Mytilus edulis: one gene and its partner. The protein of the gene in region 1 purifies or fractionates together with the protein of each later gene. This does not show direct contact. Links are inferred from orthologs where the notes say so. Each region holds a gene or a part of one and is shown in the gene's direction. Other genes may lie near its edges. The genes, in order: protein lingerer-like and ras GTPase-activating protein-binding protein 2-like.

The links.
Region 2: the proteins of protein lingerer-like (region 1) and ras GTPase-activating protein-binding protein 2-like purify together in Drosophila melanogaster (affinity purification with western blotting; 3 studies listed by BioGRID, with this or other methods). This does not show direct contact. The link is inferred for Mytilus edulis from reciprocal best matches to the Drosophila melanogaster genes lig and rin.

What each region holds. Positions count from the first base shown.
Region 1 is NC_092347.1:61,471,318-61,487,435, reverse strand, and holds the start of protein lingerer-like, read left to right. Parts: upstream 1-8,124; 5' UTR 8,125-8,224; intron 8,225-12,811; 5' UTR 12,812-12,853; coding exon 12,854-12,967; intron 12,968-13,254; coding exon 13,255-13,341; intron 13,342-13,984; coding exon 13,985-14,098; intron 14,099-14,653; coding exon 14,654-14,996; intron 14,997-15,779; coding exon 15,780-15,804; intron 15,805-16,118. Other genes in the region: uncharacterized protein, read right to left, coding at 668-1,404, 2,256-2,713, 3,455-4,068, 5,026-5,121, 6,661-7,041. UniProt on the Drosophila melanogaster protein: Acts in the nervous system to mediate the control of copulatory organs during courtship.
Region 2 is NC_092352.1:25,706,980-25,723,358, reverse strand, and holds the start of ras GTPase-activating protein-binding protein 2-like, read left to right. Parts: upstream 1-9,798; 5' UTR 9,799-9,909; intron 9,910-9,911; exon of another isoform or gene 9,912-10,255; intron 10,256-10,302; exon of another isoform or gene 10,303-10,367; intron 10,368-11,972; 5' UTR 11,973-11,993; coding exon 11,994-12,088; exon of another isoform or gene 12,089-12,586; intron 12,587-13,839; exon of another isoform or gene 13,840-15,035; coding exon of another isoform or gene 15,036-15,118; coding exon 15,119-15,200; intron 15,201-16,379.

The sequences.
Region 1 (16,118 bases):
TGACTAGGTTTGTGACTTAGGACGGGCACATATTTTGTTTTGTAAAAATATGACCATAACAAAATTAATGTATACATAATATAACAATGCACTAAACGAACAAAAGATAATCATGTACATTAGGCCAAATAAAAAAATATTTGTGTTTCCTATCTCCCTTCCTACCCTATATCTAAAGCTTAGATATTGTCTATATTTACCTTAAAGTTTTTTTGTCATTTTTAAATAAGCTCTAGTACAGTTAAAAGTCAGAATTTCTCTCCAATTGACTCAATGTAAAAAATTGTAAAATAAAATCAAATACCTTCCTACCCAGTGGTTGAAACCCACCTTTTTTTTGGGACAATCAATGAATTTGAATGGGGACAAATAGTTGAAATCCCCCCTTTGTCCTGCATGTCCTGGGTTGGGACCCCCCCCCCCCCCCCCTTTTTCAAAGATTTAATAAGGAACACACAAATTATTTTATTCGGCCTTAATACATACAGTTCTTCATACAAATATGTCTTTAATAATCAATGAATGTGTTTTAATTCATGCTTATTGCATTAATATATATATTATGTGTACATGTATATAGATAAAAGCCATAATTTTAAAGGGTAAATTAATAAATATAATAGCTGAATTTGTTCACTGAGTACATGTACAGGTACACTTTAACACTTCATACTCCTATCTCAGTTGCAAATTTAACTTTCTGGTTTAATATCCAATGATGGTACAAGTTAGAGTTCAGCTGTTTTGAAATGGTGTTGGCAACTTTGGGAAAGGCTTCATGAATTCTTCCTGCTTGGAACTGGAAAGGACTTAGTTGTCTCAAGTCATTTATTATGTCTGTTTCATCTTTTTTTGAATCTGCATCACTGTGTTTTTTTGCACGGACCAAAACATTAGTACATTTATCAAAGTTTTCTGCAATGTCATTTAAAGCTGGTAAAGCACTTGTTCTTACACTTATATTTTTATCTGTCTTATTTGAAAACATGTGCTTGATGTTTTTCTTGATTTGCTTTACCAAAAATTCCATCCGTAGATCACACGGTATATGGCGGTCTAATCCACCCTTGGTGTTTACAAACAATCCATAGAACTCCTCATGGGCCTCTTTCTCAGACAAAATGGATTTCTGGTGAACCAAGAACCTCATGATCTCATATGCATATTTAGACAACCAGTTGTTGGCCTTAAAATGGACCATTGCCAACTTCAAAAGTCTTAGGCCTCTTTCTCTACTAGGAGTCTTACATAAATCTAACAATGATTTGAATAAAAGTCCAAGTTCAAGGACTAGATGCCCATAGTTCTTAACATCATCTTCTTTGACGACTTTTTTTACCTTTTTTAATGTTATTGTTTTTGTGGCTCCATTTGCTAAGGGAACAGTCATCACAAATCCATCCACTGAAAAGTAAAGATCTGAATTAGAAGTAGTAACCATAAAATGTAAAATGCACAGTACAAGATTAAACATTTATTATTTATATTGGCTTTGAAAAGAGAAACACAAGTGTCATGAGCGTCTGGACAGGGTTTAAAACCATAAATAACTTGAGACAAATGAGCAAACAAAAAAACTGACAATATAAATGATGAATAACTATAAAAAAGTAAAGACTTAGTAAATAAAATTCTGATTTCAAATTAATATTATTTTTAATACTTGTATATATATTATACATATATATTAAAAGGAGAACAATGTACATTTTGTACATGTTTGTGGTAATATAGATATAGGAAGATGTGGTGTGAGTGCCAATGAGACAACTCTCCATCCAAATAACAATTTAAAAAAAAGTAAACCATTATAGGTTAAAGTACGGCCTTCAACATGAAGCCTTGGCTCACATCGAACAACAAACTATAAAGCGTCCCCAAATTACTAGTTTAAAACCATTCAAACGAGAAAACCAATGGTATATAATACAATATAATTGCCAATTAGACAACTATCCACCAAAGTTCAAATGAAATGGATGTAAGCAATTACAGGCAACTGTACAACTTCAACCATGAGAAAAACTCATACTTTACATGTAATAGGCTACCAAATAAAATTTTCAAAATAAGAAACAATTCAATTTAGAAAACTTGACCAAATTGTTTTAGTCAAATTGGGATTTTTTATTTTCCCCTGAGTATCCTACTGACCTAGTTGGATCAGAATATATTTTTATAAAGCTTAATAAGGAATAAAATGCTTCAAAATCCAAATTAAATGGTTTTAAGTAAGTTTGTATAAAATTTATTACCTTCCAAGCTATTTGTCTCTGAGACTGCAGAAGTACGGCCCACATATAAATCCACTATTGAGATAAGATGTTTCTTTACCCAATCTGATGCCTCGGCTGAGTTGCTAAATGGTGGTGGCATATTTTTCTTTGGAACAGATGAAGCATTATCCATACCAAAATAGTCCAGAACTGCTTCAACTATATAGGCATCAACAAACGAGGTTACAAAGTCTTTGTCAGCATCATAATATTCGTTAACATTCTCATTGACTTTTGTTCTAAGTATTCTATTCTGCTCACACTTCATTGTCCCCAAATCTTTTTCACTATCATTTCTGTACAATTGTTTGAACATGAGTGTGACGTAGTTCATCATCATGTGAAACAATTCAAATGTAATGGGCGAAAGATGCTCAAATCTCTCTTCCTTTGTTACTCCCCCTGCTCTCAGTCTTTTTCCACCTGAAAAGCGCTCCCTGCAAGTAAATTAAAAAATTGACATGTTGCTTTTCATTCACAATTTATGTAAATGGGTACGTTCAATGTTCTTCAGGTATATCAAACAAACATCAAAATAATGACTATTTAATATCCAATGAAAAAAGTCAGATAATATTTAGGATGAATGAATGCTTATAACAAAGAGAATCACAACTAGTAATAACATGAGAACTCTTATTTTTATTATTATTATTTGCTGATGGTTGATTTAATATTTGAAAACCATAACATATTTGGGATTTGACAATTATCAATGAATATATACATGGCCATCAAAGTTCAAATGTTAACAATGTAAGCAATTTCATGCAAGCATATGACCTTCAACAATGAAAAAAACACAATACAATATAGCCGGGAATACGTGAATACCAGGCCCTGACCTTTACCAATTGTTCTATAAGACAGATTTGTTGAGTTGTTTGAGATGCTAGCTTACATTTTTTGTGCATTAATTAGGCCTTTACTTTTCTAATTTGAATTAGTATACATTTGTCATTTATTTTATTTTTTTAGCCGACTACAATGTATGAAGTATGGGCTTTGGTCATTGTTGAACGGTACAGCGACCTTAAGCTATTAATTGTCTCATTGGCAATCACACTAAATCTTTTTTAAAATCTCCAAATTTTTCAGACTTATTTTGAGTCAACCAGTCTTTACTGTCTAAACAAAAACCATCCAAAATTTATAAAATGTCGTAAACAATTGCTTACCTTGTTAGCTGATCCCCACCAGTATGTACTTTTGGCTTCTGGACACCTGCTGCTTTGTAGGTATCATCCACAAATTTTTCGTAGAAGTCCATTATTTGTACAACATCATCATATTTTTGTTCATTACAATGTAATACTGGCAGTGGAACTACTTTATTTGGTGCTCTTAGCTGTTCAGAATACGGACCTTTAATGAACTTTGGGAGATGATCCTTCACAAAAGCCAGTGATGGAATATGCCTTGCAACAACTCTACTTATTAGTATGGCATAATCAAACCGTACACCGTCCCATTCATCTGTTGAAAGCAAAAAATCCTGGAAATTTAACTGGGTGTATGGTCGTTGTGGTGAAATGTTACTCAAATGGCTGAAATCAGTGTTTTGAATAATGACTGCTGAGCCAAAGGCATGGTTCATGTGTTCATGTCTATCTCTTCTTTCGTCATGAACACCCGTTTTCCAATTTATATTGTCTCCAACTAAGCGAATTCTTTTACCTTGCTTAATGGCATCAATGACTGAGGTGTTGAAGTTACCACCAAAGATGTCCATTATGCTGAGGGAATGACAATAACTTAAGCAAAGTCCTAATGGCTGTAACCTATCAAATACCTGAAATATATACATGAACATAACCTTGAGTCAGCTACATTAAGTACTTATATAAACCTATCTTTTAAATTCATGCATTCCACCTTGAGGTTGAATTATATATAAAATGCTGTAACAATTACTGCGTGTAAATATGATTAAATTTGGGGAAAAAATAATAATAAATTTTAAAATGGTACACTAGTTTATATTTTTTTTAACATTATTTCAGGTTCATCTGTATGTAAATAAAGTCAACAGATATAAAGTGTCTATGCATCAAACATATATATATAGATTCATGTAGATTCACTAAGGGTATTTTTATTTTAAACACTTGTAAACATGAATAAAAGTTTCGAGTTACAAATAGGTACATTTGGTCAAAATAGTGATTTTTACACAGTATAATCTAATCAATAATTAAAAGATCTGGAGTTGTACTTCATTGAGACCATTACCAAACGACAAAATTTAATTGATTTAATTATTAAACTTAGCCTACCTCTGGCATATAATTTACCTGCATGTGGCATGAAGATACATGTACATGTATGCATTTTATAAGGGACGACATCAAAAGATCGATGTAGGATAAAAAACTTAAATCAAATAGTTTTGGGGGGGGGGGGGGTTGTAAAACTCTGCAAGTTTTGTATATTTAAAATCGATTTTTACATATATCGATCCTTATTGGTAAATCAAATTAAGTTAAGAAGTAGGGGGGGGGTCAGTGAAAAAACTATGTGAATTAAGTTTTTTATCCTACATTGATCTTTTGATGTCGTCCCTAAGTACAATTTTTCAAAATACTAAGGATTTTCTTCTCCAAGGCATAGATTACCGAAGCCGTATTTGGCACAATCTTTTGGAATTTTGGGTCCTCATATGCTTTTCAACTTTGATCTGAGCGTCACTGATGAGTCTAATGTAGACACAAATAATGATGTAACAATTTATATATTTATAATGATTTACCTTTTGATCACATATGGAATCAAACAGTAGCATACTGATACACCTTTGCACTCTACTTAGCTCTGCATTTCTAGTTTGGGCCACTATAGCATAAACCTGCAAGAATAATAAACCTCTATTGTTTATCAAGAAAAATAAATTGCATTTTGAAGGTTTGTAAATGTATTAGGTTGTTTTTTATAATAATAAGCTTAAGTTCACTTTTTTTGTAAAATCATTACCAGTGAAACAAAGTTTAACATCTAGGTATTTTTCCTTTAGAAATATATTTATATCATTGTTCTGACTAAATACTTGGCAGAGGAAGCTTACATTTTTTTGTACTACCAGTACCACCATTTCAACTTTAATGTCACTTGTAGCTGTTTATAGCATGTTTTGTTTTAGATTAGGGAGCTACCATTTGATTTTTATGGGGGGGGCTAGGATGAAATTTGAAAAAAATAGGCAGGACAGGAGTTTTGAGTAAAAAAAAAAGGCAGGATGAGACACTTTGCAAAAAAAAAAGGCAGGATGACAATTTAGGTAAAAAAAGTCAGGATAAACTAATAAAAAAAAAGGCAGGACCGAATAGAGTGAAAAATAAAAAGGCAGGACAGAGATTACAACTAAAAAAAAATGCAGGACACAATTTTTCATCCTAGCCCCCCCATAAAAATCAAATGGTAGCTCCCTTAATGTACAATAAAAAAAAATCCTGGTTTTCAGTACTATAAGGTTTAAAGTGTTTAAAAAGACATATAATTTATTGTGTATAAAATGTGTTTGTAAACAAAATGTACATCTATCTAATCTATATATATATATGCATAGTTGTTGAATTGCAAATATTGCAATATATATTTTAATATACATGCAAGTTATAAGATTTAATCAAAAACACACTTTTAATTCATTTGTCTGTTATGACTATGTAAGTGTAGTATTGTACCTTATTATGATTATTTCAGCTTTATATTGTTATGTAAGTGTCATGTAACAAATACTGATTAAACTCATGCTTAACAGATAGATAAATAAAGTGCAGATAATGTTCAATACAATGATAATTAAATTAAAGTCAACATGATAATTATATGTCTCTTAAAATCTTACTGATGATAAAAACTTAAAAGAAGCCATCTGGACATGATTTCAAGATCAAAATGATTTATTGTCTCATGCTGAGACATTATCATCAATATACATGTACATAATACTTGTAAAATTTGGTCATAATAAATTTGAAAAATAGATTGAAAATTATATACACATGTTGATAATGGTAAAGAAATCCAAATAATCCTGTAATATTCAAATAGACAAAAACATCTTATAATTAAATGCCTAAGGAAAAAGAAAATAAATTTTCTTATTTTTTTTGTTTGGTTCTTTTATTTATAATCTTTTATATTCCCTTATCTATATTCATTTTTCTATACAGTTACTGAGTTAGGGTTGTGATTGAGCACACTACAATGTACCTTTTTTAATTTAAAAAAAATATTCAGCTTTTTGAAACATTTTATTTAAATTGTTTAGTTTCAACTAGCATATCGTCTCATTTATTTGTGTACCTCATACATGTACATGTATATTTGTAGGTTGAATAAAGTCCTTAAGCTTAAGTTAAGGTGTATATAAATCACAACATACCGTGCCTATTCTTGGTAAAACCGAAGCCAGTCTTTCATTTCTTTTGGCCTCACTTAAACTATTTGGTAAGATGACTGCAAGAAGTATTTCTGCTAATAGCGGAAGCTCCTCTGTTAATTCTTGTACAATTACTTCCCAACTAAATGATTGTAGATGTTTGTAATCTTTCTGCATTAGCTGACTGATTTTTCCATGCTTTCTTGAACGCAAAACAACATTGTCCTGTGACAGTTCAGCAAACAACAAATCCTTTACTGTCTTTTTCAATGCCGGTATGTCAAGAATCGATTTTGCAAGTTCTTTCCTGGAACGAAGAGGCAGTGAAGATTGAATTAACGCACACTCTGAATTGGTCAAAAGATCTGATTCTGGACCTTTCATACTTTTCACTACGGTCTCCAGTACTTTTGGTACATCAAACAATTTCTTTGCAGCTTTCTTCTTTGGTGATTGTTGGTGTTTTTGCTGTTTGCAATAACTATGGTCAATATTTTCACAACTGTCACTTGAGGTTTGCGCAGGTGTTTGAATGGGAGTTCTAAAACTAACTGTGCATTGTGACTTGAAAGAGCTGTATCCATCATCAACAGTCTTATTCTGTTCCTTTGGTGTAATAGGTTCATATTTTTGCTTCAAAAGTGGTGTTGAAGAAAAAATAGGTGATATACCAGAAAAATTAATTCATTCTGAAAGTTTCTTTCTTTGAATGGAGTTGTCACGGCGACTGCTTCAAATAACTGAATACATGAACCCCGTTTTGCAGTTGGTAAGTTTTCATCGTTCTCTTGCTCCTTAATACATCTTTTCCCACTTAACAAATGAATATTTAGATTACACTGTTTCCTAAATTCAATGTTAGACTTGTCTAAACTCACCAATCTTCTTTCACAATTCCGACAGATAAAGCCTTCTATCACATCAATATCACCGTATTTCTTTAGTAAAGCTGACACATTTTTCTGTTTTCCGGCTTCAGAATTAATAAGTCTCCAGTTTTTATCAGCTACGTTTTGTGTTTTGCAAACTACACATATTCGTTTAAGTGATTTCCTTGGGGTTGTCATATGTGACATGGAAATTTACTGTCATCTGCTTGGAGAACCCCGGATGTGTAATAAACAAATCCCATGATGCACTAGTCTCGCTAAGAAATAAAATCCCGTAGCCAGAATTCTGACCACGGGATTTAGGCCATACCTGTTGTCAGTGTAGCGATAAGTGAACACAACAGGGGTCCAGTTTAAGAAAAAACATGCTCGCACTTGCTCCGGAGTTATGTGCCCTTAATCGAGAATGTTCGTTCGTTTCCGTACGACTGACCGGAAATAATTGGGAATTCCGTGTTCGCTTACATTTTGAAAGCGTTGACATCTACAAAATGTATTTAATCGGCTTTCAAAAGAGTGTTTTGATCATATACAATGATTATGTGACAAAAATCTCAACATATAATGTAATACAGAGCGGGGAATCCCTAGATGACGTATGCACGGAAATTTTATATATGGCGGCGCGAATTCTATTTAAGTCACGTGATCAAATGATATTGTGAGACCATTTCCAGGTAAAATTGGGGCTCCCGATAAAAACTGACCCTTTATTCGTTTCTTTGACAACTAAGAACAAATATCAATTCCCATGACATTGTATCGCTAAGTCTTTTATTCTACAGAATGACATTTGTTCGATTTTTCATTGTCTAATTTATTTTGCGTGTGCGAATGACGAAGGAAATCCAGCATGGCGTCACATGGTTTCCTCTTTGGTTACTAATCAAATCTACTGGTAATTCATTTATTTACCGAACATGAAATCTCTGGATCAGTGAATGAGAATTGCCCCTTCAGATTCTGTTATGCTTATTGAAAATATATATGAATTTTGATTTAAATGACATTGAAAATACTTCCCGTTTCGGATGTCAACACGAACTGAATATTTGTACGCGACCAGACGATCTATTCAGAGACTTAGGGTTAAAGACTTGTTGCATATGAAACTGTTGAATGTGAAATTAAGATACATAAGATGTCAAAGATAAAGCATTTATTAACTGTTGACTTTAATTTGTGTCTAACTTTTGGATATATATATTATTTTGTTAAATGCCTCATTTATTTGGAATTCCCAGATTACCATTTCACTCTGAACAATGCATCATTTACATACATGGTAGTTGCTGTGTTTTAAAGCTATCATGGTCATTAACAATTTAATTGTTTGTCTGAAAATCATGCTGTATTCTGTAAAGTAGCGTCCGGTTTTTATCTGTCAATCTTAAATTGTTTACAGATAATTTATTATGTATATGTATGTATTTCACCCTAATAAACACGACAAACAAACAAAAACATTTTATCTTATAACAATACAAACAAAACTATTTCATAATTAAAATGTTACATTCTGATAAGTTGAATAATCATAATATTAAAATATTGTTAATGGTTGTACTTGTACAACTATAGTCGCCATCAAATTCAAATAATTATGACATCTTGAAAGGCTATTATACTTTTTGCATTGACGTCTTACAGCATCATCACAAAGCTCAAGCCATCTCTTTTGGTTAGTTATGAGAGGGAATTTTGCTCAACTTTGAGACCCAATTTAGCCCCAAAAAATCATTGAAGACAGGCGTGTAGCTCCATATACGCCAACACTCACATGCATGCACATCGGCATGCTAAACACAAAAAAAATATTTACGATTTTCAGCATTCTATGTTTAAAAAGAGTTAATATAACGACATATATTTCTATTTAATTAATCGAGTTTTCTTAGCCTAACCTATTTGTCATCACTGAATGACATTTGTTCGTCCAACCGTCTGTGAACTTTAAAACGTTTTATTATTTTTTTATGATGTCCATTTTTCTTAATGGTATTTTTCTTATTATGCCCCTGCCAAATGGCAACAAGTTCTTTAGGCTGTATACCCATTTACGTCGGTGCAATTATTCGAAATTGTTTTTTCTCTCTCTTACTTTGTTTTGCCTCAACCAAATGTTGTAAAACTTATACACAATGCTACGTTCTATAAAACATTGATCAAGTTGGATTTGAAGCCAGATCCAATGTATGGTTTCCAAGTTAGGCCGGCAGGTACAAAATGTATGTCCTAGCTACATGTATATAGTCCTTCTTTTATTTGTTATCTTACTTTGGTTTCATGTATCACAAAAAATGTATGATTCACATCAATCGTAAGGTTGTCCAATCATATGCCAACTTCCCTGTGTGAGACACTTGATGCAGTAAGCCTAATGCTGTATCCTTCTGTAGATCCTTTTTGAGTCTTATGTTGGTAGTGCCAGTAACATGTGTTATGATAGATCTTTCAGTATAGTACTTCGGTTGAGAACATGTATGACCAACCATGAATAACGATAGGTCATCATCACTAGCATTAATGCATATTTATCAGGATTTCAGTGTGAATATGGACATATTGTTAATTGTTATTTGGATGGAGAGTTGTCTCATTGGCACTCATACCACATCTTCCTATACATTGTATCTATACCGTCGTGTCATATGTTTTCAATGTCATATGTTTTTGTATCATCCATATTTCATCTGTTTTGATTTCACACCAGTATATTGTTGCGGTTTTTCAGTTTCTATATTTGGAACAACAACAACACTACAACTTGACATCTTTAAAACATATTCAAAGTCGTTTTTAAAGACGCTCAAACAAATTTAATAAAACTGACCAGATTAGCCATTTTTATTTAATGCCCAAAATATGCCTCACTATAATAGTTGTTGAGCAATATTCTGAGGAGTTAACTGAAGTATAGCTATATTGTCTGCCTGCTCGACATGGGATCTTCAAGACATGTGACTGTCGTGTGGTTTTTTGGTCATTTCTAGTACAAACGAGTGCGTGAAAATTATCATGGTTCTTATATAAAATGGCTGTTCAAAATCCATTTATTCAATATTTTATTGACAATTCTTTTCATAGATCCTTTATACACAGAGATGAAAACAGTCTTAACTTTTTACATTTAAACCCTAAATTTTAAAAACTGCATTTTGTTTTCCAAAAAAAATAATGTCCTTTACTATTTATTTCTAGTACTGAAAAGTATTGAATAACCTTTATTATCATTCAAGCGATCACCAGAACCATGACTATAAATTCATTTCCTGCCCGTGAACTGATCCAATTTTTAATACATGCGAAAATATATGACGCCATTTTTTTTACATACAAATATCGCAAAGTAATCGGAAATGGTTAAAAATCGTAGAAGCCTCGACAAAAAACTAGATACCTAAAATCATTTGATAGGACATGCTTTTCAAATTTGAGTAAACACCTGAATAAAAACGCAACATTGAAAATTGTTATTAGTACGAAAACACATCACATGATGATATAGTTATGGAAAAGTTTGTTTCTGCTAAGACCTGAAATGCAGATTTTAAACAATTTTGAGTAAATTCTGTCTCACAAATATGTGTTGTTTAAGATTATGTACCATGATTTACTGTATTTATAAGAATTCTGAATATTATAGTTTTGCATTAGTGAATTATATTAACGTCCTATGAGCACAACCTTCCTATTATGGAAAACCACCAAAAAAAAAAAATCTTCATAAAGTGGTCCCAAATTTTTTTTTTAGTTTAGATTGAAGTCTTGTCATCATAGGGCAGAAGAAATTTTTCAAGATATTACATTTGTCCAATTTTAGGAATTTTCCAAGTTTTTCTATGGGACAATTACATTTTTTGTATCACAATTATAAGCCATATAGGTTAGTTAATAAAGGTCTATCTTTATCAGTGTTCCCGCCTGCCCTAAATAGAAGGGCGCCCCGCCCTTGGTGCCCTTACCCCCGCCCTTCTGCCCTCCAAAGCCAAAGAATGCCCCCCTCTGCCTTTTCAAAAGATACATTTTACAAATTTCATGCCTTCTGGCGTTTCCGGTAAAATTGTTACCTGAGTGATTGTGTAACACTAATTAACTGACAATAGGATTAAGTTAAATACCTAATGCCTTTGGCAGTTTTATCACCTCTGCTAATGATTGTTCACTGCTAATTAGTGGATTTAAGATAATTGAACAAATACTAGATATTTAATACAGAATGAAAATGCTGACATGTTAGCCATTTGTAATGTTTACGTATCATAGCATATGTACACATAAAAAAAAATATTTTTAAAGAAAATTTAAAACAATTTAAAAGGCAGATTAAGTTTTGAGTAAATTGGTAGATTGGTAAAAACGTTTTGTTTTTATAACCATGAGTATGAAATTAAAAGAATAACCAAAGAAATTTGTATTTGAACATAACAAGATTGCACCACTTCCTGTTTTATTTCTTGTATTATAATCCTCCTTACATAGGAGCACTTAACAAATGCTTTTATTTTTTAACCATAATGGAGTTTATACCTTCTGTAATATATGCAATGTATTATTGCATCATTATAATATAATCATCTCTTGTATCACCTGTTATATTTATAAAACTCCCTACTTAGGAGCACTTTGGTGTGCACTTCTTAATACTTTTTTGTAACAATTTACAAGTTAGGTAACTTTCAATAACACAAATACTATATGTCTAAACAAGTAGTTTTAATGTAAATAATTTAATTACATAACAAATTCAATTTTGTTTAGCTCCATCTTTCAGAACTACTTGTTTATTTTTATAGACTTGTATAATTAAGTTATATAAATTATAAAATAAAAAAAAAGATTTTTCTAAGGATTTTTTTCCTGATCAAAATGCACAGTTTGCATAAATTTACATCAATTAAAATGATATGCTTTGTGTCATGGTATGATAATTTGATAATAAAAAAATCTTACTGGAACCAACACTTGGAACACATTAATTTCTGAATAAGGTTAAAATACAAGTAATGTTCTGCAGCTGAGCCTAGCAATATATAATACATATATTCAAGGTTATTAATACACTGCCAAACAGTGCCCTTACAATTTGGGTTATTGCGCTAAAGTGCCCTTTCAGACAAGTAGCACCCTTCTGCCCTGAGATTCAAGCTGGAACACTGTTTATTCTTATGTTTCATACAACATACATGTATATGTTAACATTTTCAGGGTTTGGTTCTTTACAGAAAGCATCCCATCTTTTATTTATATTTATTTCTTTTCAGTATCTAAATTTGTATATAGTGTTGTGTAAATAAGTGTACAGGATGAGTGCTGCGGTGGCTTCATCGCGTGGGAACACAAGACCCATGAAAGAAAAACATGGAAAATCCACCCCACAGACACAAACAAAATCAGAAGGACCTCCTCAGAAAGTACAGGCAAGTGTTACCCTAGATAAGGATAAGGGTCAAATGAAAAAATGCATTTATTGTAGAATTTGTATTGTAGTACATTGTCAGAACAAAAAAATATAGTTCTTACAGTGAAATATAATGACATTTGTTAGAACGTCGAAAGATTTGGTTTCATAAATGCTCAAGTTTTAATTCGTTACCTCTAAAACAGTCTTAAAAACTTATGATTTAGTTCTTTTAGTCCTTTATCATTAAACTTTGCATTGTACACAACATTTTTTGATAATGCTTATATTTTGATAAAAATTTAGGCTACTCCAGAACAGATAAGGTTGGCACAGTTGACAAATGATGCAAATTCATTAGATGAATCGGCATTCAGACAGAAGGTGAAACAGGTATGTTTTATATCATTTGTTAACCATAGTTTCAAAAAGTTGTCTTTTTAAAGAATATATGACAAGTACTTTCAGAATATTGCAAAGGGACAAGAAAATAAAAATGATTGATATTAAAAGAAAGGAGATTTGGTATGATAACTATCCAGCAATATTCAAATGAAGTGGATGTAAGATATTAAAGACAGCTGTAAGGCTATCAATAATGAGAAAATCTTGTACCGATATGTTGGATTAATATTAGTTAAAGATTTCGAGTCTGACAATAATGTCTACATTTGAAAGGTTATCACTTCTTATAATCTTTGTAACCCAAATTTGAATTCTTTTTTCCTATCTTTATTTGTATAATATCCTCAAAAATATCTATCAATCTTTGATAAAAGTTCAAAGGTCAGTTTATTCCACTCAAAGCAAAAGATAGATGGAAAAAAGTCTTGTTTACATAAATTTGCATCTTTTAGATTAAACTTAGTAGTTTTCTGATATGATAGGTTGCCCCATTGATTGGTCTTGTTTTATAACATGCTGTGTGATTTATAAAGGAACCATAATAAAGTAATAATTTTCATCTGGTGGTGAACTGATCACAACTTTTTTGATGTGAAAGTGTGGATTTTGATATGTGTTCTCCATTTTACAGGTGATCGATGTAACAGGTATTACAGATCAAAACGAAGTAGAAATAGCTTTACAAGATTGTGGCAACGATACAGAGAGAGCCATAAATATGTTGTTAGAGGGCAACACAGTACAGGTAATTAACTCATTAGTATGCATTAACATTTGCAACTTTTAAGGACTGAAACACTGTCTGATGATAATATTTCATTTTCTGATTTCTTTAAATACTATGCAAGTATGTACATTTTGCTGAAATTTTTTGTCCTAGTTTTATATATTTTCGAAATAAAATTAGGAAAAGCTGGTGTTTTCTTTCCTGTAAATTCAGAAAATATTGAGAGGTTTTGGTTATTGCAAAAAAATACAACTCGGTAAGCATGGCAATATTTATTACTTGCATTCTGATATTTAATTCATACACCTGTTGCAGGTTGCTTCCATTTGTAGAAAACCAGGTGATAAAGAAAAGATAGCATTATACATAATAGATTTTAAGTTTGGGAACAATTATTTTGGATTTCATTTTCAGTTATCAATAAAGAAAAAAGACCTGATTGGTTTTTCATAAAAGACTTATATCCAAAATTTAAAAGGTTCAAGTGTTTTGTTAACAATGCATTTCCTATATTTATGATGGATTAGCCTGTTTATGTTCTATTTGATAAACAAATATTATATAATTGAATAGGGAGAATGGAAAGAACCTGGAAAGAAAAAGAAGAAGCCAACACCTGCTCCTGCTAAATCAGAACCTACAACAAATCATGTGGATGAAAAAACAGAAGAACCAGAACAGAACACTGAGAGAGAAAAAGTCCCAGACAAAGATCGATCAGAGAATATTTCCCGAAGAGGGAGGCGGTTCGACAACAGATATGATAGCAGACCACCACGTTTAGCAGCCAGAGGTAGGGGGAGAGACAGACCAAACAGAGAAAACAATGACAATGATGCTGGCGAATTTGGTGGTACATTTGGACAAGACAAAGGGTTTGACAGTAGAGGACGTGGCAGAGGTAGAGGTGGGAGAGGTAATTATAATTTATGATTTTATTACTTGTTACATTGTAAACTATTCAATGAAAACAAATATAGTTATATTTTGCATCAAAGAGAAACAAATAAAAAAAAAAAACCACTACTTGACAAGAATACAAAAAGAAGGCTAAACAAATTTGATACAGCTGTCGATCAACATTGATTTAAAAAAAAAGACATCTAGTGCCAGCTGATTGTATAAAAAAACCACCAATTGTATGTTATGTTTATGTCCCTGTTGTGAATAAATTATTGAACTGACAATGGTTAAAGGAAGTATATAGGAACTTGTGTATTAAATCACTCCTGCAGGCAAAATTCCATGAAAGACTTGTTGGTTTTAATTTGTTTCTGGCAGTTCTTGCAAAGTAGATTTGCCAAGGCTCTGTGTTAAAGACCGTACTTTGACCTATAATGGTTTACTTTTACAAATTGTGACTTGGATGGAGAGTTGTCTCATTGGCACTCATACCACATCTTCATATATCCATTGATTTAAAATAAGTTTTTAAAACAAATGCATATATCTGAGATACTGACTTGTAAACTGTAATAATTTACACTGTCTGGATTAAAAAAAAAATATTTTGTGTTGTACATGTTGTGTCCATAGATACATATTGTTTATAAAACTCTCCAGTCTACTTAAAAAAATGCATAGTCTTTATTAATATGTCACATTTATGTGTAATACACCTGGAAAAGCATGTAGTATTTGCTGCATGCTGTTAAGAAGCTTTCAATCAATCAGTCTAGAGATATATTTTCTTTTGTAGGTGGTTCAAGAAGAGGAAGAGGAAGGTATGCTTATTTTATTTAAAGTAGGATAACTCTTCATGTACAAAGGGGGAAAAAACATGAGACCACATTTTTGCGGATTTTATTGTTCATTTGTATATGACATGCACCCCTTTTTGGTCCATGAAAATAGATAAAAAAGTTTGTGTACATAAAACATATAAAATCTTGAAATCAGTACTAGACAAAGAATATCTTTTTTTTAAATAGCAAAAATTATCATCAAGTCAAGATCTACAAATAACATTTGAAATTATCAGTAGATGTCTCAAAGAAGTTTATTTATTTATTATATTTTATTTACAACTAGCTTTCTC
Region 2 (16,379 bases), on another chromosome or scaffold:
TTCTAAATCAAAGTTCTTAACAAATGAGAGATAATTCTCATAGCCCAAATTTTGTTTAAATTTGAAATAGGCCTAATTTAACAATTTTCCATCAGAAGCATTTGTTCAAGGCTAACATACCAATTGCTAATATATTTAGTGTGAATTGAATTGTTACAGCGCATTTCATTGAGTGTGTAGCTAAAGGTAATATCTTTGGTTAGCTTGCTTGTTAGCTGAACCGTGAAGTCATTGTTAGGTTAGGTAAACTACCCCCACTTTAAGAATAGACTAGTCTGACAGAAAACCAATATATCTGTCTGTTGGACTATGCTACTTCAAAAGGAGGGTGGTATACCTGATCTAACAATGACTTCACGGTTCAGCTAACAAGCAAGCTAACCAAAGATATAACATTGGCTACACACTTGATGAAATGTGCTGTAGATATATTCAAAAAAATATATTGTCCGAAATGTTTCAATTTTTAAAAAAATCTTATAATTTCTTTACAAATGAGAACCAAGAAGTTATGTTAGATTTGTGAAGCTCTTGGCTGTATATATAAGCATCCTTCAACATGCTGAATTCAGACTGAAGATTTTCAAATTTTTACCAGTATTTAACAATTGACTTTACAATATCATAATGTATGGGGAAACGCCCCAGTTCCGATAATACAGCAAAATTTACACTTCTTTTGTGCCGGTATACACCCAGTGTAATTTTGAGAATTTGAGATAAAGTTTCTCTCTAGATAAACTCGAGCAGATACTAGTGATCACTTATGAAATCTGAAATCAGAGACTACTATTACACAGAGATTGGTCACTTCCCGTACTGACCAGTCAAATTGTCATAGTATTCTCAGAAATATAGAAAAAAATAAGACTGCATAGGAGCTCCGAGGGAGATATAATACGGTACACCTTATCGCTATTTGCCAAAATTACAAAATAAAAAGAGAAAGCCGATTAAACTACAATGCCGCTGACTGGAGATTCACATAGAAAAAAACCTTTCCACAAATGTATTTAAGATTTAAAACTATCAAATTCGTTTAATAATTAGTAAGGAAATCCTTTTCGGATGATCAGTTTGATCACCAATATGTGTAATCAGTAACAAAGATAATTATGACAGAATAGTTTCCCCAAACGTACAAGCCAGTGCTTTGTTTCGTCATTGCAAACAAATAAGAAGAAGTATTGACCCACAGGCAATTGTCTCAGAATATAATTGTAGCAAAGACCCAAGCTTACTATCATGTGCTTGACAGTTGCATACCACACTATATATATGACAATTATATTTGTTGATGGGAGACATACATGTCATACATTAAGTTCTTTAAAAAACATATCAGAGGACACACGTTAGTATGTAATTCCAGTACACAAAAAGCAAACATTTGTCGAAGAACTTAATCATGCATGACCTTTAAAATATATACACATTCGATGTATTATAGATATGAGGTTTATCAATAATTTGAGTCAGATGTTATTAAAGGCATTTGAACTTTTGACACAGATATATGTCTCGCCGTTATGTTTATTTGGTAGTATATTGCAAAAGCTGAAATTAAAATTGGCAATACGTTAACATATGAACTATACAGAACATTCAAAGTCAATAAACTATGATTAGACCAAATTGGAAGATGTTTATGCTATATATTGTTTCACAAAATGAAGAGGTTTTTTTTCATTCGTCTTTTTTAAATGTTCTAAAACATATTAGTAAAGTTTTCTTTTTGGTGAGAATTGTCATTCTAGTTGGAAGAACATAGACGCGGGAACACTGCTATTGAAATAAAAAAAAAACTAAAAAAAAACGAAGACAAAGACAAAGACAAACAAACAACCGATATGCCACCAAAACATTGCACACGAAAGGAGTAGGTCCGGTCCGGTCCGGTAAGGGCCGATTTTGGCCTCAAATTTCAGGTTCATCTAACGAAAGTTTTTGGACACTTTTTAAAAACTTAAGTGTCTATTTCAATTGATTCGAATAGTGTTGTTGAAAGATTTTAATTGATTTGGTCATTAAAACGCTCTGATTCAAGCTTAAATCTGAAAAATCTATCAAATATGCCAAAAAACGTCACTTTTCAGATGGTATTTGTCAAAAATGAAAGTGGCCGCATCCGTGTTCATCCTCAACCTTTATATATGTTTTGTATTATCATCAAATACAACTTAAACATTTCAATATTATGAATGAACACGAATGCGGCCACTTTCATTTTAGACGGAAACCGTCTAAAAATTAACCAAAATGCTAAAAAATTTAAGATTTCAGTAATTTAGCATGACTTAATGATGCAAGAACGCGATAGTTTTGCATTGTTTTGTCAAAAACAGCTCATATTTATGTAGCAGAAGCAGTTTACTTTCCAAAATATAGCTTAAAGATTACATTTTCACAATTTTCTAAAACGGCTATATTTTTGGGCCAAAAGGGGTCTTACTGAACCTACTCCTTTGAATATTCAGTAACATAACACATCATGGCCAAAGTGCTCTGAAAACTCGTGTTCTTTCATGGAATGGTATTATTACTCATGACATGCAAACTTTCAAATGCAGAAGGAACATACGTGTATGACATTGGGAGTTGTTTCATTGAGCATTGTGCATGCAGACCCAGCGATCATAAGGTTGGATGCAATATATAAACGTATATTTTTGAATACCGATTGTAGTACGCAAGTCATGCGTTTTTTTTTAATAATGTTAGTAAGGTAAATACTCTCGTTAAATAGACATATATTTAGTAAGATTACGGATTTTAACTTAATTCCTAATGCAAGGTGAACAACCATATATTGGTTTCAGTTATATTTGTATGTCCCAAGTATCGGCATTATTTTTCCTGGTCTGTGTGTCCGTTCGTTCGTCTTCTTCCGTCTGTTCGTTCGTCTGTTCGTTCGTTTGTTCGTTCGTTCAGTCTCTGTTCGTTCGCCTGTTCGTCCATCCGTTCGTTCGTTCGTCTGTCTCGCTTCACGTGAAAAGTGGTTGAGGTAGTTTTTGAATGATGAAGTTGAAGTCCAATCAACTTGAAACTTAGTACACATGTTCCCTATGATACGATCTTTCAATTTTGAGGCCAAATTAGAGTTTTATCCCATTTTCACGGTCCACTGAACATAGAAAATGATAGTGCGGATATCCGTGTGCTATGGACACATTCTTGTTTGAGATATTTTGGGAGCTTTAAGCAGCCTATTCTGGGTTCTTATCCCATGTAGATAATTCAATATACCCGGCGTTTCCTTTTGATATCAAACTTGAAGTATTTTATGGGTTTTATTCCCATAGAGAGAAAATAACCTGAGATTACTTGTATCATTCAAATCATACCATAAACGAAGCACCGAGTGACAAGTAAGTGGATTGGACTAGGATCCTGGGGTTCGACGCGGAAATTTGTGTTTTAAAGAACATTTTTAACTACCGGCATCCATTATGAAAATCATTGCCAGTGATCCGCGTCTGTGCATGGGTTGTTCATACTCTTATATTATGGGTCCGAGGCTGATTGTTAACCAGCAGCAAAACCACCCCATAATGATTATTTTTTATGGGGTTCAATTCAACTGTCGCTTAGGGAAATCCTTTTCTATTTTTTGTTTGTTTTGTTTTAATTTTAATGTTCTTTGATATCATAACTTTGTTTTTTAACTTATTTATACGTTTTTGTTCTTATTCATACAATGTTAAAATAACATTTTAATATGATGTGCTTCTTTCGCTTTGTGTCTACGTGCCTTCCCATGTTAAAACTACAATTAAGTATATATATATAATATATAGCTTGCATCAGTTATTTCTTAATTAGTTCATATATGCTTCCCCTTTTATTTAGATTTTCCACGCCTGACGGGTAGGAAATATATATATCGTAAAAAATACGTAGAAACTGTTCTTTCTTAAACTTTCCGATGCCAACAAAAGTTGATGTGAGGCTGGCTTTTCAAAAGCATTATCCATCAAAATAATTCAGTGCAATCGAAAATACCTTAGTGTTTCGTGAACTAGCGGTTATTTGTCTTTTCGTCGTTTTTCGTATTCATGATTGCCGTAGTTGTTCGGTATTTTGTATAAATGATTGCCGTAGTTGTTCGGTTTTTTTTTGTATAAATGATTGCCGTAGTTGTTCGGTTTTTTGTATAAATGATTACTGTAGTTGTTCGTTTTTTTGTATAAATGATTGCCGTAGTTGTTCGGTTTTTCGTATTCATGATTGCCGTAGTTGTTCTGTTTTGCGTTGACTTATGATATTTCACAGTTCCTTTAGTGGCTTTTATCTCTTTGTTTGCTGATTACCACTTGCATATATGCTCGACTCTAGTTTAATGCAGATTATGCATATGAAGACATAATGATGCAGATTATGGAAATGAAGAAATGTTTAGCAAGAATCAGGTAACTTTTAACATAGGGTTGATTTGTTGTTCCGTTTTTGGAAATAGCCAGGCCCGAATTCAGACGCGCCTCCTCCCTCTTTCCCCGAATAAATGTCATTTAAATGTACCAAATAATAAACATGTTTTTCTCTTCAAAATATAGTCCAACAACTCATAATTCTTAAGAGCGCCCCCTAACATCAAATTCTAGGTCCGCGCCTGGTAACAATACCACCGTGTAGAACGCCAAATGCGGGGTGTTGGCTATGTTTGACACGGGGTGGCAATTTCGAAGCGAAGAAAAACTATCAAAGTTCAAGGCCCACGCGACATTATATCAGAAAACGGGAGCGATGAGAGATCGGTTTTTAATTAGATTGATCACAAGCAGAATTACCTAGAGTTGTCAACTTGAAAAAAATCCAGTTACGTATACCATACTCATATCAGAGACCTACATCTCGGTCTTGGGTACCATGATAGAACTATACATATGCATGTGTCTGTTTGTGACAGAAAGGAGAGACATGCTGGTCACTGTTGTTCTGAAGTCGACTTTGTATTGGTAACATTTAAAGACGGGTCCGCAGATTGCCTGTTGCGAGGGTAAACCATATCAAATACGCTCGTTTTGCACAATCAATATAAATTGCCCACCCTTCGTCTTGGTCGACCTCATATATCTGAACTACTTATCATAAAATTAATAATAAATTCTTTATTTTCAGAGGGTTAACATTACAAATTTTTACATGTGGCTTCTACATTTACATATAAAAAACACAGTTTTAAAAAGATAATAATGCATAAACATTCAAAAGGTAATAAATTAGCAAAAACATACTTGCACACTTGATAAAGGAGCCCAAAAACCAAAAACCAAAATCTAATACATAGATGGATTCAGCTTTTCAAAGAACCTCATAAAATCATAAAATCATTTTAAAATCGCGATGACATTATCGAATGCAAAATAGCATTCCTTATTGCTTGTTATAAATTCAATTCTTCAATGAATTCTCATAAAAATATTTCTTTTAGACTGTGACATAAATTAATAATATGAAAATGTTCTGTCGTTCGAAATATATATATCAGTAGAAATTCATTAATATCTATGCACACGTACAGAAAAATTTGTTAACCATGCGGAATAATATCTCAAGAACGTTTTGGGGGAAATATGAATGCCTACTCAAATCCCGCGATCTATTTAAAATAAAGAATTATTACAGAAGAGTGGCACCATTCACTTGCACTGCACAATCATTAGAATAGTAGAAAAGAATGATATACAAATGGATGAAAATTATATATTCATGTTTTACTGTTATACTAGTATACAAATATTAATATAATATATAACAACAAACCAGAGTATACTTATTTGTATCGCTACAACTTTAATAGTTATAACGGTGAGATTGAATTCTCTGTCATTTATTCATCATCAATGCACGCACGAACTTGTCTCAGATTTTTAAAAAAATTTATTATACCTCACTTTCAGGTATACAGATGTGATTTTTTTTTTAGACAAGTGTGACCATCAACAAGAACTTGCAGTCATCCGATGTTCAGTATTTCAGTACTTTCATTAATCTTTCTTCTAATGACTCTGTTAGAGCAGTTTGCGTAAGGAGCTCACTCCTTCATGCGCGAGCATAACGTACCATACGACGGAGCAGAGGACTAAACAATATATAGAGAATATATGTTATTTTTGCCCGAGTGATTTAGATCTTTTATTTAATTCATGATATATTTTTTTTTCACTGACCCCATCACTCATAATATTTGATTTAAGTGGATTTTTTTTTTATCTTACATTGATCTTTTGATGTCATCCTTTAATCAACTCATTGCCGTTTCATCTGAAACTGTGAACATATATTTGTTCCGCATAATACTTGTTCCCCCTGGAACAAAACTATGGATAACAAAAGTTACATAATATTAATTCCACCTTCATAAGATATTTTCCTGGAACTAAAATATCATATGGTTTCATAATATTTGTTCCTCTAAAAAAGAGTGTCATTTGATTTTTATGCCCCACCTACGATAGTAGAGGGGCATTATGTTTTTTGGTCTGTGCGTCCGTTCGTCCGTCCGTCCGTCCGTCTGTTCGTCCGTCTTTCCCGCTTCAGGTTAAAGTTTTTGGTCAAGGTAGTTTTTGATGAAGTTGAAGTCCAATCGACTTCAAACTTAGTACACATGTTCCCTATGATATGACCTTTTTAATTTTAATGCCAAATTAGAGTTTTTACTCCAATTTCACTGAACATGGAAAATGATAGTGCGAGTGGGGCATTCGTGTACTGAGGACACATTCTTGTTTACACCTGATTAGATCTGAATTAACCGGCTTGGAATCTGAACTTAATTGATCTATGTTTATATTAGTTGTACTTGCATCATTCCTTTTAATAATATCTATAGATATTGTAATAATAGTTAAATTTAAAATTTATTTCTTGTCCTGCACATGTATAATGGGGGGGGGGGGGGGGGGGGGGGGGGGGGAGGGGTCCCGATCCCGAAATCCTGGGTTTAAAACACAAAATCCCGAGGACCCTAATTCAAATAATTCAAGTTAATCCCGACATCCCGAAATTCGAAAAAAAAATAATCCCGGATTCCGAAAGGGTCAATCCCGAAATTCCGAGCTTAAAAATACCCGATCCCGTAGTCCCGATAAAAGTCATATCCCGGTCCCCTCTCTAAGAGTAAATCATTGATATTTGACAGATATTAAATACAAATATTTTATTAGCACAAACTCATCAACAATAAATGGTTAAGGCTCATGGTATATCAATTACATAGTTGGTCAAACATAATAAGTATTACAAATAATGAGTATATTAATATGTAATATTATAAACAATGATTATGAATTAGACATTTTGACAATTTTATGGAGTTTGTTCTGCTTTACGCAGGTTCAAACTGTCTGAAATGAAAGAGGACGTCAATTTTAGGATTGTGTATGAATTATTATTTAATAAAAAGATTATATTATTTTCATGTTTTTTTAATTTTGTAGAATCAACGATTATATTTGAAACTTTTGATAAAATATGGCCCTTTTAGTTGAGTATTTTTCACAATGTAAAAGAAAATGGTTTTCATTTTCAATTTGACCAGAGTTACATACAGAGCAGTATCTCTCATTTCTGGGAATATTTAAATGTCTCCCTCTTTCAATCATCAGCATATGAGCGCTTATACGGATCTTACATATTGCAGCTCTGTCACTTCTGATTTTCAATATATCAACATAGGGTGGTCTTCTGTCCATTATGTAGACACTCTTGAAAAAGTCTAACTTTTTTTATTCAAATATATTTGCATTTTGAACTTGCAAACATTGGTCATTAATTCTTTGTTTAATAGAAGTTAAATTACCTTTAACATAATTAAAGTTATTGGTGATATAAGACATTCCAAGTCCATTCAAAAGACTCTTGACCTTTATGACCCAAGGGTTTGAATCTACAGATTTAGTGAATATATCATATGCCAAAGAATTTTCCGAAGAAATTATATGGTTCAGGTAGTTGAATATTGAATATAATATTTTATTATTCAAGGGAATTCTATTAAGTTCGGCTCGACATCCATCATTAGATGCCTTACAGTGAACCCCTAATATGTCTTTGATAAATTTAACATGAAGTTTTTCAAAGGGATCAGAGTCTTTAAAATGTGAATCCATCCCCCAAATTTCACTACAATATGTAAGAATGGGAGTAACTAAACAATCAAACAATTTTTCAAGAAGTCTACATGGGTTGTTGAGACCTATAGTTTTCTTTATCTTATAATATGCCTTCCTGGCTTTTTCCATGAGAGTATTCACAGCAAGGCAAAAATTGCCATTATACTTTAAAACAATAACCAAGTAACAATAATTTGTTACCGTTTCAAGATATGCATTATCATAAGTAAAATGGTTTAACAATGTTTTGCCATTAGAATTAAATATCATAATTTTTTATTTATCAGTATTAACTTGTAGTTTCCATGACGAACAATATTCATGTAAAATATCAAGAGATTTTTGTAGACCCTCTTCGCTTTCAGATAGTAAAACAATATCATCTGCATATAAAAGAATGTTCAAAGAGGTATCTCCAATGGCAACTGGATCCGTATGTTTGTTATCAAGATTACCTACTAGTTCATTTATAAAATAGTTAAAAAGAAGGGGACTCAATACGTCACCTTGTTTAACATCCCTTTCTGGTAGGAATGGAGGACTGAAACCATTAGGGAATTTTATTCTACATACTGTATCAGTATACATTGAATAAATAACATTAAACATTTTTTGGGGGATATTATGTTTTATGAGTTTAGAAAATAAACCTAGTCCATAGGCGGATCCAGGGGGCCCGGGCCCCCCCTTTCGTGGGAAAAATTTGGTTGATTATATAGGGAATCATTGAAGCATGACTGGAGCGGGCCCCCTCTTAGGTCAGTCAGCGGCCCCCCCCCCCCCTTTAGGAAAAGTTCTGGATCCGCCACTGTTAAGTCGCCATACAGTATCAAATGCCCTTTTTAAGTCTATGAAGGCAGCAACAAAAAATTTCCAAGTTTTTTTGTCTATATTGATCAGTTATGGTCTTAAGAGTGAATATGTGGTCAGCTGTACGACTTTTCTCTTTAAAACCTATTTGATTTTTACTTATTAAATTTTTGATATCCATAAATGTTACTAAACGTTTACATGGTTTATATAAAACTTTATTAAAAAGTTTACCCAGGTTGGAACTAATAGATATACCTCTATAGTTCCCTGATCAAATTTGTCCCCTTTCTTATGCAAGAGAACAAGACTAGTAAGCTTTCATTCCATAATCTCGGAAGTTGACCAGATTCGAATATGCTATTAAAGAGTTTATGAAGTGGTTTTATTTAAAAAAATAGGGATTGCATTTTTCAACATTTCATTGGAAATCATGTCGGCTGATATGCTTTTGCCATTTTTTTTCAAACGAATAGCTGTTACTATCTCTTCAATTGTTATCTCTGAACTCAAGTGAGTTAAGTCATCCGTAACATGTGATAAATTAAACTGTTCTTTTAGAGAGTCAAAATCTTTAATAATTTTAGAGTGAAAACTATTGTGATTTATGTCACAGCTATTCAATTTTGTTATAAAACTGGATGAAATCTTCTTGTGGTACAGATTCATTTTCTTTGTTATTACTTTTTTGTCTACTTAATTTATTCAAAATGTTCCAAAACATCTTTTCAAGAGACATACAAAATATGTCTCTGATATTTGTCACGGTACCAAAAAGTGAAATAACAAAAATAACCTAACTGCAGAAATTTAAAAAAACCAGACAGTTCTTTGATCCTTATAACAAAACCAGAAGAGTTACTATCATATATCCTGATTCAGGACTATGTAAACCGTTTTTTAAATCTGATTTTGTTTTTTATGTGCCCATTCCGATCCTTATTAGCAGAGAAACAAAGAAATGCATTCTCATTGAAGGTTAAAGGTAAGACTTCGGTGGTCGTTTTTGAGTTATTAGAAGTGGACTACTCTTATTTAAAAGAAATTTTACGTTTAAAATGACAAAAACATTGTATGTTCTTTGAAGAAATTGAAATTTTGACCACAGTAATTCCGATTTGGGGGATACAATTTGGCACACAGGGTGTCCCCGTTATGTGCGCAAATTTTGACAAAATTAGGACTCACTGCGCACACTGCATGTGCAATTCTTCGTAGTTTTTACGGACGTCAAATCCAATATTTTATCATTTTAAGATTCATATATTTAGTATTCTAATGTATTTGTAAATATTTTATTCACATATCACCAAAAATTCACCATTCGTGAGGTAAGTTTACATCAAAAAATTGATATTTTACAGTGAAATTATGAACCGGTATTTTTCCTCGTGTGTTCAGACATGGCTTCCGTGATTATTTTCACTTTCTGATATACATTTTGTAAGCGTTTGAATGTTTAACCTTTTTGTGAAAATTATCCTTGATCCTTTGACATAACTTATGAAACACTTTATTGTCAGATTTGGAGAAATTCTTGTACAGAATTTTGAGGTTTATTGCCATGAAACAAATTATTTTGTAGTGTTGCCATGAAACTATTTTAGTAAAGGTATATCATTATATCTAAAGAATATTTTCATACTGACTGAAATTGATTAATAAAGTCTTCTCTTGTTTTGTTAAAAGTTAATCTTGAAATTAATTTTCAGATTTAGTAACTTTTATTTTGTTGGATAGTTTACTTTCACATAATTTGGTGCATTTTCTAGAACATTCTGATGTCAATAACAGAAAATATAAGGAAAAAAAGCGTTTGTTCCGGGATAAGTTAGTAACCGAAATGTAGGGATTGTCACTTCCAACATATATCGAGGGATGAGGCAAATAAATGTTGATCTTATAGTTATAATTTATACTGCACAAAATATTTTCGAAATTTAACAAGTTGGTCACCTTCCCAAAGTTGTACGGAAATGAAAATCCTGTACTTACAGAACATCAATTATTAACAGACTACCCTGCAGAATGGCGATTCCGAAAGTGCTTGAACTTTTAATTAGGCAGGGATACAATTGTGCCTTCTAAGTTCTATCTGGCAAATGACATCATAAAGGCTTAAGAAATTGATGATCTTTTCTGGTAGAAAGACATTCGAGGAAGTGGCATATTGTTCAGTGATGTCTTGTAAACTAATGATGAATTCACTGGGTTCAACAGGCATAACCAATTATGATTTTTTTAATTTAAATATGGTTTAATCATGTGCTTCTTATTCTGCCTTCATGTTCGCAACTTTTAAAAAAGTGTCTGTTTTTATTTAATATATTCCTCTGTTTGTGCTTAATTTCCTACAACAGGTTATTATTCTTTGTATAATCACCAAACATGGGGTTTGTTCCCATCTTTAAACAGACATGACTCGTATTATAAAATAATTGAAATGGTCTGTTCTTGTGCTGTATAAATGAAATTTTTTATTTAAATTTATATCAATTTTATTTCTTATACATGTAGCATAGATTTTTTTTTCTATGATTGCTCTGATAAGTTTTGTGTGCCAGCATTTAATTTTTCTCCATAAATATTTTGAGTGAAAACTGATAGAACAAACAGTATTGTCACCATGATGGGAGAGTAGTGGACAGAACAGGATTACATTATTGTATTTAGAGATTACAAGGATGAATGAACAAATGTAGGGGTATTCATTAACAAAACATATCATCATGCCAACAACAAAAATAACCAAAAAGACTTCACCAGTTGTCCTGGTATTAAAACCTCCTTGACTCCTAAGTGAGCCCATGATTCACCTGTTCACAGTTCAAGTTCATAGAAAGAACACAAATATTTGACACATTAAAGTTATAGAAGTACAGCAACATTTAAAATTTATTCTTTGATAACATTTTCTAAATATTATTGTACATGTAGTAATTTTAAGCTGCAGTAGGTAAATTGTGTAAGGTTATGTCAGATAATTAAAATGAAAAAGACCTGAAATAATGAAAAAATTCTCTTAATTTTATAAATTGTATTTTTCAGATTACTTAATAATACAAAGTCATGGTTATGGAAACCCCAAGTCCACAGTGCGTTGGCCGTGAATTCGTTAGGCAATACTATACCTTGCTAAACGAGGCCCCACTGCATCTTCACAGGTAAATATCCAAGTGCAGATCTAACAATTCGGCTTTTGTAGACCACAATGTCCTTAATAAAAAAAAACAACATCAATTCCAATGAAAATGCATATGACCTGTCACCAAGAAAAGAGGATTACAGACAAATTTCCGTTGGTGAACAAATTTCTACCATGCCATACGAAAGATTGTTTTGATCCATTTGTAAAAAAAATGGCATGTAATTTTTTCAGGTTCTACATCATTTCAGATGTCAATTCTCAAAAGAAATAACCAGTCTTTGAAAACTTAGTTGTGTCTGACAAATCACTTGATTTTTATTAATATGCAAACAAAGCAGACATTCTGAGCATGTTAATACACTGCAGTTGTCAAGGTTGGATCATTATCAGTTGACTTAGGCTGATCAAAAGGAATTTACAAGTATGGTCATGATCACCAAATTTCTTCAAAGAGATCAGACAAACAGTACACCTGGAAAGGTTCAAGGCATGGCTTGACCCAGATTTATAACTGGTATTAGTGTTTCCTGCAGCTTTTAAAAAGGGCAGGGTAATTGTTAGCTCAGAGGGCACATTAAGCGCGATAGACAATAACTTTAGGGCACTTACTTAACATAAACAGGCAATTTCTATAAAATGGATTCATTTAAAAAATACTAGTTTAATGACCTCTTAATAGTTATTGTTCAAAATATATACATGTAACAGACTTCTTTCTGGGTCTATCATATTCTTGATGTGGGACCACATTGAAAAAAAATGTTGGTTTGCCAAAGCCAGAGTTCCATAAAAAAAGATCAGGGTGATAGGTTTTTTTTTTTTTTAAATATGAATGGACTATTTAAAATGATTAACTTAAAGAATTTGTCTGGTCATTTTTAGTAACCAAAATTTAGTAAATTACAAAAAAAAATAACTTTACAAATTAACCCCTTCCCCTCTACACCCTTTTCCAAATTAAATTAATATAGATACACCAAGTTTATTACTTTCATGGCACTACCATATCAGCTGTTTATTTTAAATGTCTATAAATAGCCAGAAATAGTTGTCTGTTACTTAGGTGTTTTCCCCAAGTATTTTTCCCGCCTAAAATGATCATGTGACATGTTTGTAAACAAAAGACAACATTTCATCAAGGAATTCATTTATTTTCTGGATTATTCTGCTTTTAATAATTTAGTTTGGATTTTTATTCATTTCATTTAAGGTACAGTCAAGCATTTGTATTTAAAAATAGTTTGCAATGAATTTTTACTTTTCACTTTGACAAATGTCTCATGATCGCCGTTCATTGGCTTGTTCAACCATGCAAACAATGTATATTATGTAAATTAGAAATCTATCAGCTGTCAAAAATATTGATCTAAGCAATCGATGTTTTGAAATCGTTTTCCGGTTTAGTCTTGTCAAAACAATGTCATATCATTAATCTTCTAGGCAAAACGGTGTTTCTGGGACTTGGGGGATACAATCAGGACGCGTGATTAGTATCTGTATTCACTATTCAGTCTATTGCAGTTTGCTAATCAGCTGATTACGAAATCGATTACAAAATGGCGTCCTAGTGAACTTTTGTTTACGTTTGAAGGGAAATAACTCGAGCGGTATTCATAAAATATGTCTTTCAGTACCGTAAAGGCATGGCGTCAGGAATTTCGACAAAACTAGGGCAGGGCGCCAAATTTTTTCCCCAAAAAGGGCAGGGCGTCGAGAAATCGCGGCAGGGCGCCATTACACGCCAAAACCACCTGTAGGAAACACTAGGTATTGTCTTCACTCTTGTCTTGACAGAGTCACATAGCAAGACATAGATACAATGTATGTTTTTTTCTGGTGGTCGCATGATCAATGTATTTGTTTGTGATTAGGTTTAGTTAATAGTGAACCACTAAGAAATTGTAGGTCAATGATGTGTGGTATGAGTTGTATTAGCATAAGCACATCTCATTTCCATAGAGATTTTTGGCCCCATCCCCTCAGTCATGGTCTAATAACTGAAACTTTTGCTTGGTTTACATGTTTTAGTTTGTTATTATAACCCCACTTTAAAAAAATGAGGTATACTGTTTTACCTCTTGTCTGTCCATCCATCTGTCAGTCCGTCAGTCCCATGAATATATTCGTCATATTTTTCTCAGGAACTACTTATCTCATTACAGATTCATCTCTTATCAACTTCCTGTTTACCGAACACTAGTATCATTTTACACATGATAGTACAATGTAGCCAAGTTGAAATTTTTGTCACATATTTCTCAGGAACAACTTTACTAGGAGTTCTGAAATTTGGTTTCAGGGTTTATATATAAGTCAGCTCTACCATGATGGATTTTGAGATTTATCACCTTGACAACTTCTTGTTTACCGACATTTTTTCGGCGAGGGTTTCATCAGTGAGCAGTTGCTGGCAGTTTTACTTGCTAGGTCAATTTAAGGGTAATCATAAGTGGAAGACCAATGATAATGGTATGCAGTTGTGTAAGCATCAGTACATCTCACTTCAAATAGCTGGTCCTTTCCCATCAGTCATATGTCTATTGACTTTAAAACTTTTGATTAGTTTGTGATAGCTCAGTTTAAGATGAACCACTAAAAGTCTATTGATAATTCAACGAAATTTCACAATTTGATTTACAAGTCTCATTTCCATGGAGATTATACAGCCCCAACCCCTCATCTTGGCTCATTGAATTTGACATTTTTACAGAACTTACCAGTTAATGTTTGTGTAACGGTTTGTTTAAAGGGAGCAACTTATGATCAGTCAATGGTGTTTGGTTTGCAGTTGTATTAGCATTCGCACACCTCATTTCAATGGAGATTGTTTAGTGATGTACCTTTAGTCATGGTTTATTGACTTGAATATTTTATCATGGCATACATGTTGAAGTATTACTATTTTAATTTCAACATTTGCACTATTAAAATAGGCAAAATATATCTCTGGCTTAACAGTTTATATGCATTGTATGTTTCAGAAAATTGTTATTTTATTTAAATTCCAAGAATTTTACTTCATTTACTTATTTTTGAATTATTACAGATTCTACAGTCACAATTCTAGTTTTGTTCATGGAGGTGTTGAAAAACCAGGAGAAGAACAACCACCTGTCATGGGACAAGCTGTAAGTTATATCTGTATGATTATTGATGTTAAACTGATGTTGCGTGGACAATGATTTGTTGGATCTATTTGAGTATTTGAAGAGTTTTTGTATAACATACAGTAAATTGTCAATAGAATTAATTTTTTTCACAAATCAACATTATTAGCCTTTGTATGCTGATCCCCTTATGAGGCAGGTGCTACCATTAACAAAGTGTGTGTATAACCATTTAACAATATTATTGTTTGAAATTAACAATCAAGTACTGCATGCCTGCATTCAATCTGCTCCAATATTATATAGAATTGTGAACAAACAGTGTTCTAGCTAGAAAGTATTAACAGGGCCCTTTTTTGTTGACGCCCTTGCCTTTTTTCTATTGTTTCTCTGGCGCCCTGCCGTTTTTATGACGAAAACCTTGGCATTTCTGCCTTTGAAAAACCGGAAAATTTGTAATACATTCATGAACAGAAAGTTCACCTAGCTGTGTAAACTGTCCAATTAAGTGACTCATTAAGTGCATGGCTTCACTTGTCAGCTTTGGTGTCAAATACATTGTTTATTAACACCAATTACCTTAGCTTTAGGTCATAAATAATTTGTTTCATCTCAAAAATGTTTGAAAAAAAAAATAATAGTTTCTTCCCCTTTTTTGTCACCATTCACAATATTCTTCTTAAGTTTATGTTCTTTTTCACAAAAAGATTAAATTTATAACAAATTGATTGCAAATGTATTTTAAAAATAAAACTTCCAATTAAATTCACCTGAAAACATCTAAGAAAGAATGTGCATATATGTAGATAATAGCCTGAGATTAATTACTAAGTTAAACATGGAAGATTGTGTCATTAATTGAAATTTATTACTTAATTTTTACTGAAAATTGATAATACCATATAGTGCCTAAGTTATATGCTAATTAATTATAACTCTTAAATAATTGCCCTTTTTCAATGACATGTACACGTTAAATTGGCCTTTTTCTGACTAGCACCCTGCCCTTTTCAAATTCTGGCTAGAACACTGACAAAGGATGACACTCCAAATTTAAAATTTTGCCTTAATGCATATTATTCAGCTTAATTGTATTTGAAAGAAATCCTTAACTTTTAATGCCCACGTGCACTTTGATTACTTTACAGAGTTGATAGTTGATATTGAGCTGAAAATCCCTTTAAATACTTGAAAACAGGG